Linked DNA regions of Oryctolagus cuniculus. The protein of the gene in region 1 interacts with the protein of each later gene in a biochemical or structural test. Links are inferred from orthologs where the notes say so. Each region holds a gene or a part of one and is shown on either strand. Other genes may lie near its edges.

Evidence for each region. The genes of interacting proteins can lie anywhere in the genome.
Region 2: the proteins of DLG1 (region 1) and KCNJ4 form a complex in vitro, tested with the Homo sapiens proteins (2 studies listed by BioGRID and IntAct, with this or other methods). The link is inferred for Oryctolagus cuniculus from reciprocal best matches to the Homo sapiens genes DLG1 and KCNJ4.

Annotation. Positions count from the first base shown.
Region 1 is NC_091435.1:83,512,862-83,516,419, reverse strand, and holds part of DLG1 (disks large homolog 1), read left to right. Parts: intron 1-1,671; coding exon 1,672-1,763; intron 1,764-2,680; coding exon 2,681-2,787; 3' UTR 2,788-3,558. UniProt on the Homo sapiens protein: Essential multidomain scaffolding protein required for normal development. Recruits channels, receptors and signaling molecules to discrete plasma membrane domains in polarized cells.
Region 2 is NC_091442.1:115,108,536-115,112,805, forward strand, and holds the start of KCNJ4 (inward rectifier potassium channel 4), read right to left. Parts: upstream 2,810-4,270; 5' UTR 1,874-2,809; intron 1-1,873. UniProt on the Homo sapiens protein: Inward rectifier potassium channels are characterized by a greater tendency to allow potassium to flow into the cell rather than out of it.

The sequences.
Region 1 (3,558 bases):
AGGTGGGAGACCCACATGAAGCTCCTGGCTCCTGGCTTCCACCTTGCCCAGCCCTGGTCGTTGGGGCCATTCAGGGAGTGAACCAGCAGATGGAAGACCTCTCTCTCTGTAACTCTGCCTTTCAAATAAATAAAATAAATCATTTTTTAAAGATCTACTTTATTTATTTGAAGAGTTACAGAGAAAGAGGTAGAGACAGAGAGAAGGTCTTCCATCTTCTGGTTCACTCCCCAGGTGACCCCAACGATCAGGGCTGAGCAAGGTGGAAACCAGGATCTTTTTCCAGGTCTCCCACATGGGTGCAGGGACCCAAAGACTTGGGCCATCTTCTGCTATCCCAGGCCATAGCAAAGAGCTGGATCAGAAGAGGAGCAGTCAGGACTAGAACCAGTCCCATATGGGATGCTGGCGCTTCAGGCCAGAGCTTTAACCTGCTGTGCCCATAGCTCTGGCCCCAAAATAAATCTTTAAAAAAGAAAGAAATAGGGGAATCCTGTAGGGTGAGGCAAAGGGATGCTAGACAGTAACTCTACGAAATATCAAAGTAAGCGTCATACTTGGTGAAATACTGAAAATAGTTCCTCATAAGTTGAGAACAAACACCCATCACCCATCATCTTGCTGTAATAATAATTGCCAATTTAGGATCAGTCTTGTTTCCTCTATCCCCACCTACTTACCCCTGCACTCCAGATTATTTTGAAACAAATGCTAGACATTATAACATTTTACCCATAGTGTGTATTTGAATGACAATAATTTAAAATATTTAAGTATGACTATAATTGTCATATTTAAAATATTTAACAATATTTCCTTGGTATCATCAGATGGCTCAAAATTTCCTGATGGTCTCTAAGTTTTGTGTGTATTTTTTAAATTTATTTGTTATTAGCAAATTCCAAAAAGGGCTGTTCTTTCTTTCCCCTCCAACCCTATTTATCTTCTAAAGAAATCAGGTTGGGGCCAGCATTGTGGTACAGTGGGGAAAGCCATGGCCTGTGATGCCAGCATCTCATATGGTTACTGGTTCATGTCCCAGCTGCCCCACTTCGATCCAGCTCCCTACTCATGTACCTGGGAAAAGCAGTGGAAGGTGATCCAAGTACTTGAATCCTGTCACTCATGTGGGAGACTGGGATGAAGCTCCTGGCTTCTGGCTTTGGCCTGGCTCAGCCCTGGCAGTTGCAGCCACTTGGAGAGAAAACCAGCAAGATGGCTTTCTCTCTCTCCCTCCCTTTCCTCCCTCTCCCTTCCCCCATCCCTTCACCGCCATCCCTGTAACTCTGCCTTTCAAATAAATAAAACTTTAAAAAAAAGAAATCAAGTCATTTCTGCAGTTTTCCCAGAGCTGTATTTTTTAACTGCTTTCTCATGGAGCTGTTTAATATGTTCCTGTGTTCCCTTTATTTTTTATAAATTGGTAGGTAAATAATTTTAATATGAAATTGTCATTATAGTCAAAACTCATAAGTTAGTGCTTAATTTTGTTTCACTGCTTTGATCAGTGCAGAATATGTGAAACCCTTCTGTCATCCCAAGTATGAAGCAGCATATTCAGTGGATGAATCTGTTTTTAGTGATATTAGTATTTTAACAGTCTTTTCTCCTTTGTTGTCTTTTTTCAAATATTATGTGTTAAATACCAATTTCTAAATTTGTTTGCTTTAGGGAAATGAATAAGCGTCTAACAGAAGAACAAGCCAGAAAAACTTTTGAGAGAGCCATGAAACTGGAACAAGAGTTTACTGAACATTTCACAGGTCAGAACCATATAGGACAGTGCCCTCTATGGCAGCATTTTGCTTGGCAGCCACATAAACTAACCCAAATGGATTTGAACTGTGCCCACATCTCCTAGTGCTGTCATTTTCAGATTAAACCTGTGTGGTCTGTGCTTCTGTGCTGTGGGAAATTCATTTAGCCAGAGCAGTAGTGGTGGGAAATATTGAAATTTAGTGTTTAAGACGTTGTTAACTAGGACAGCATGTACAGGAAAAGTCATACTTCACCAAAGAAAAAATAATTTAGGTTGATTTTCTTTTCTGAAACTCTGCTTTTATCCTTTCTAAATTTTAAGTCATTTTTTCCAGCTTTATTGAGGTATAATTGACAAATATGTATATGTCCAAAGTACAGTATGATTTGATATATGTATACATTGTGAATTGATTACCACATTCAAATATACACATCTGGCCAGCATTGTGTAGCAAATTAAACTGCCTGCAACACTGGTATCACATATGGGTGCCAGTTCAAGTCCTGGCTGCTTCACTTCCAGTCCGACTCCCTGCTACCCTGGGAAGGCAAAAGAAGATGGCCTAAGTGCTTGGGCTCCTGCATCTGTATGGAAGACCCAGATGAAGTTCCTAGCTTCCGCTTGACCCAGTCCCAGCCATTGCAGCCAAATGAGAAGTTCTCACGTTCATGCTCTCTCTCTCTTTTCCCCTCCCCCCCCTTAACTCTACCTTTCAAATAAATAAATATTTAATAAAAATATTTTTATGTTATACAACAGAAAAATTAATGAAATGAACAATTTTTACTAAGTAAGTAATACATAAATGGTGACTTCCCGGATGAGTAACTGTTACCGAGATTTGGCTCTGTTTCACCAATAATTGTTATGGCAAAGAGAGACGATTAACAGAAGTTCTAATTTTATCTGTCGTTACAGCTATTGTACAGGGAGATACGCTGGAAGACATTTACAACCAAGTAAAGCAGATCATAGAAGAACAGTCTGGTCCTTACATCTGGGTTCCAGCCAAAGAAAAGTTATGAAGACTGGTGTTGCTCGGCTTCTCTTTCCACAGTCTCGTGTTCTTCGACACTTCTTTGCCTTTCCTCTGGAGTCTGTCTTCAGTGCTCCTTTCCTGTTGAATCATGTCCACTCCTCATGGTCTGCAGTTGCACTTAATTTTGACAAATAGTCTCCTTCAGGTTGCACCATCTGCATTTTTCTATGTCACTGTTGGTTTGTGGCCATTTTTTAAAACTGAAGATGAAATGGCCTGACCAGCTATTAAGGGTTTTGGGAGATGTGGAAATTGTGGTAAAATTCCTTAATGTTTAAGGGAAAGTAACTTTAAGAGATTTTCAGAAAAGCTTTATATACATTCTTTTCAAATTTCAATATAAATGAAAGAAAAGTGGTTTTAATCAGTGATTTCATAGACTTTGAGCAACTATGCACGCTTAACTTTAATAGCATGGTTTGGCCAATGTGTTAGCTATCAAGTTCTTTTCCCAGTTGACTTCTGTTATCAGAGCAGTTATTTCCCTATAGACATAAGAAAAAAAATGTGGTTTTTTTATTTCAAAATTAATGTCTGAGTTAACTTTCATAACTTCACAAGGGATATTCATTTTTCATAAGTGTTCTCAAAGTTTTGTTGTTCGAGGGTTTTTTCCCAGTACATTTATTAGAAATAACAATATTCAAACATTTTTAATCTACTTGTGCAACACTATTTTTAGTGTCTTACAAAAGTTGTTCACATATAACAATCATCACGTTTTCTGAATTGAGGACACGTTTAGGTGCTAGGGGAG
Region 2 (4,270 bases), on another chromosome or scaffold:
CCTCCCTCCACTCGGGCCCCCAGCTCCTCCCCGGCCCACCGGGTCTCCGGGCCTCCCTTCCTGTCTGGGGGAAGCCGGCGGGCTGCTGCAGGGACCCTCCAGCCAGCGCTGCCCCGCACCCGCACCCCCCAACACGCGCTCCGGCTCCGTTTCCCACCGCCGCTAGTTTCCTGGTTACCATGTTGCTGGTTGTCATGTCGCGTCCCTGTCCTCGTGACTCAGTAGTCCCCGCAGAGGGGCCCCTCCTCCTCACACCCCCCTTGGCACTCGCCCCCGCCTCCCCCAGATCCACATTAAGAAGCAGCCGCCCTGTGAGCCCACACGGCTCCTGCCCCCTCCCGCTTAGCCTAAAGCACAGAAATCTTTTCGCAGCATCTCCCAGGGCTGCTTCGCCCAGAGTTCCCGCACACATCCGCGAAGATGCTGCCAGCCTGCGGCCTCGTGCGCGCAGCTCGAAGTCCGTCCAGGTCCAGTTCCCCAGGCTCAGAGAGGTCAAGCCAGCTGCCCAAGGACAGCCAGCAGAAACCCTAACCCAGCTCTGAGTCACCTCGGACAGCTCCACCTTCTCGGGAGAGGACCCTTTTCAAGGGGAACCCAAGGGTCCACGAGGTACGGCTCCCAAGCCACAGGTCCCTCTGATTCCTGGACACTCCTGTCCTAGGGCAGTGTCCCTTCACCCTGCCCCTGGCCACGAGCTGCTCGGCCCCTAAAGGAAAAAAATCCTTACTCCCACCCGCCCAGCCACTCCCCAGCCCAGCGCCCCCCAGTGGAGGGCAGTGGGGCGCGGAGCAATGACCCCATTCCACAGATTTGGAAGTTGAGAGTCAGGGAGGGAAGTGGCTCGCCCAGGGCACTCCATCTCAGCAGCTGAGCTCACTTCAGGAACCCGAATGCAGGGTATATGAGGCTCTCTGCCCAGTGTAGACAACCCCACAGAGGGCCCCCCCACACCTTGGAACAGAGTCGAATGTTCCAGACTCAGCCCTCCCGGCTCCAGCGTGGATGTGGATCCACCCAGGCAGGCTGACAGCCTCTGCTCGGGCCCCTCGCACCCCTCTTCCATTTGTTCCAGCCAGCGCAGGCCAGGCAGGGCCACCATGTGACTCCGGGGCCCCTCAGGCCCCCAAACCCTAGAGCCCTGGAGGGCACCGGACTGTATGTGTGGAGGAGGGGATGTCACACACACACACACACACACACGAACGGCTGCAGCCCCTCTGGGTTCCCCCCACCTGCTGCTGCCAACCCACTGCTCCGGAAGCCCTCCATGGTGAACTGAACCTGGGCGCCGGGCCCTGCAGCCTGGGCAGGGCACAGGAGTGTGGGTGGGGGCCCGTTCTGCAGGTGGGGGGAGTCTCACACCTCTCTTGCCTGCGTGACGGAAGCACCACTTCTCCCTCTGCCCAGCCTCGGTTCCCACCCTGTGAACTGTGGGTCCCTGCCCGTCTGCCCTGGAGTGGCCCGGCACACAGCAGGTGCTCAAACGTGCCAGGTGGGGGGAGGTGGGAAGGAGACACCCCCACCTCCACCCCCTTGCCCCAGTCACCTGCCTTGAAGCTCTGGGTCTGACAGTGGGGGTTGGGGAGGTGGGGGTGGGCGGAGGCGGGAAAGGGTCACTGGCCGGCCAGGAGGTCAGGGTCTCCTCCAGTCACCTCCCCAGCCGCCACCCAGACCGCCACGCTCTCGACGGACACGCGGACAGCCCGCTAGCTCCTGGGAAGTCACGGGACCGCGCCAAACGCGCGCCGGGACCCAGGTCAGGGACAAGTTGAAGAGCCGTGGGGGCCAGAGCGGCCGGGCTGGGACAGACAGACACGCACGCGGCAGGACAGACGGACGGACAGCGGCCGCGGAGGGCGCGCGCCCGGCTTACCCCGGGGTTGAGGGTCCGACGGTGTCCGGGCGGCGGTGAGCGGGCGCTACATCCCACGGCGTCCGCGCGGGCAGCGGGGAGTCCCGGCGCGGCTCCCCGCGGACGCGGCCGACCGGCCCGCGCCCTCCCCGGCTGCGGTCGGTCCGTGCGTGGGTCTCGGGACCTCCGCGCCGTCCTGCGCCGCTCCCCGCGGGCCACCCAACTTTCAGCGCTGCCCCGCGCCGCGCCCTCGGCGCAGCCGGGGCGTCAGCATCATCCGGCCCCGGGTGCGGGCTCAAAGCGCGGGGCTCCGGGGGCGCCCGGCCCCGCCGCCGCGCCTCGGCCGCCCCCGCCGAGAGCTCTGTCGGTCACCGGGTCCCGCTGGCGCGCGCTGCCCGCTCCGCCGCCGGCCTGGGGTCACCCTCCCGCTCCCGCCGCGGGCTCGGCCGCCCCCTGCCGCTGCTGCTCCCGGCTTCGCTCCGGCTGCGCGGGGGTCTCTGCCCTCTCGCGGCGCCGCCCGCCTCCCGCGCTCTGCCCGCGAGGTCCGGGTCTCCGTCTCCCCCGCGCCCCCGCCTCTGCCGCGCCTGTCTCCCCCGCGCGTCTCCAGCGTCCCCTCCGCGCCCCGCGCCCGGCGCTCTCCCCCGCCCCGCTCCGCCGCCGCGTCCCCGGCTCTCCTGGAGCCCGAGCTCCCGGCCCGCGGCGCGCCGAGAACTCCCAACTCGCCGCCTGCCGCCCGCTTTGCGAGACTTTCGCCCCTCCTCACACGTGACCCGCGCCCCGCTGCGGAGGCCACGCGCCCGGCCCGGAGCCCCGGCGGCCCGCGGGGCCCGACCCGGCCCGGCTCGCTCAGTCTACGCGGGCATGCAACCCGCTCCCGCGGGGCCTGCGGCGCCGGCCGGGGGCAGGGGCTGGGGGGCTGCGTGCCCCGCTCCTGCCCGAGATCCTGCGCGGGTTTTCCTCCTCGCCCCGGGAGCGCTCCTCCCAGAAGCCGCTCCGAGAATCCGCTCCCGGGTTTTGTAGCCCCCCCAGGGGCAGGTGGGGAGGGTTCCTCCGAGCCTGGAGCGGGTGGGTGGGAGCCGGCCAGTCTGGAGTCCCGTGGGCCCGGCCCCCTCCTCTTGGCGCTCCCCGTTCCGTCCCAAAGACCGGACAGTGAGGAGCCCTGCGCACCTCCTCTGGGAGGTCGGGCAGCCCTCCTGGAGGGACCCTCACCACCGTCTCGGCAGCGCCAGGGCCGGGAGAGTGACAACCAGCGGGTCAGAGCTCCCAAGGTCACCCAGACGTGGCCAAACGCCAGGCCCGTGTCGTCTGCGGTCCCCCCAAACCCGTCTTACTCAGCGGTCTTCGTAAAGGAGGGTCCACACCCTGCCACCCGGCCCCACTGCCAGCGAGCCGGTCCGGCTCCCCAGGCACTCCGGGGACCCTCCAGCCGCTCCTTTCAGGAGCCGGGCCAGAGTCCTGCTCCCCCCAGGGTGGCAGAGAGAGGACCCCTGGGGGTAGACAGCCAGGAGAGCCGCCCTGGCGCCCCAGAGCAGACAGGGAGACTGGGGTGGCTAGCGGAGAGCTGGCTGGCTCTGAAATGCAGTCTGGCTTCTACTCCAAGCTGAAGCCCAGGGGGGAGTCCAGCACAGGTCACACGGAGCACCAGGGTCGTGACCTTTCCCTTCCCCCACCCCAGAGGACCCAGCCCCAAGCCCTGCCGGCTGCATGCCCACACGGACACCCTGGTCCCCACAGCTCCCAGAGCCAGGGGCCCACACGCGCAGGGACCCCCACCGCCTTCCCCTGAGAACCCCTGCTCTTCTCCAAGCCCAGCCCCGTGCCCCTTCCCAGAGAGGCCCTCCCGATGCCCTCAGAGAGGTCATTCACTGCGTGCCAGGCCCCAGGCTGGGCATGGGCATGGCTCTGGCTTGGTGAGCTTAGCAGACAGGCCAGCCTGGGCTCCAAAGGACCTCTGCGTGACCTTGAGAGAGACTTGACTGGACCTGTCTGCAAAATGGGGGCCCTCCCCTCCCCCTCCTGCAGAGGCAGGTTAATGTGCAGCTCATAGTAAGTGCTTAGCAAACGTGCTGTCCCTTCTCCGCGCAGGCGTCCACAGGGCTCCTCTGGTCCCGCGCCTGTCACAGGCAGACACCAGGGGGGCCTGATGCTGCCACATCATGCTGCTCCTGGGTGAGCAGATGGGAGGGGGGCTCCAGCAACCTGACGTGCGCTCCTAGCACACCTTCCCGTGGTTTGCGGGCAGGCCGATGCGCCGAGGCAGATGACCTGTGGAGGAGGGGGAGAGTGGAACAGGGCGTTGTCTCACGGGCTCAGTCCTCCGCTGCTTGGTCACTGGGCAGGAGTCGGGGCTGGGCGGAGGGATGCTCACCTTGCTGGCTACCCTGGGGGCAGCTGCTCAGTCCTGTGGCCATGGACTGG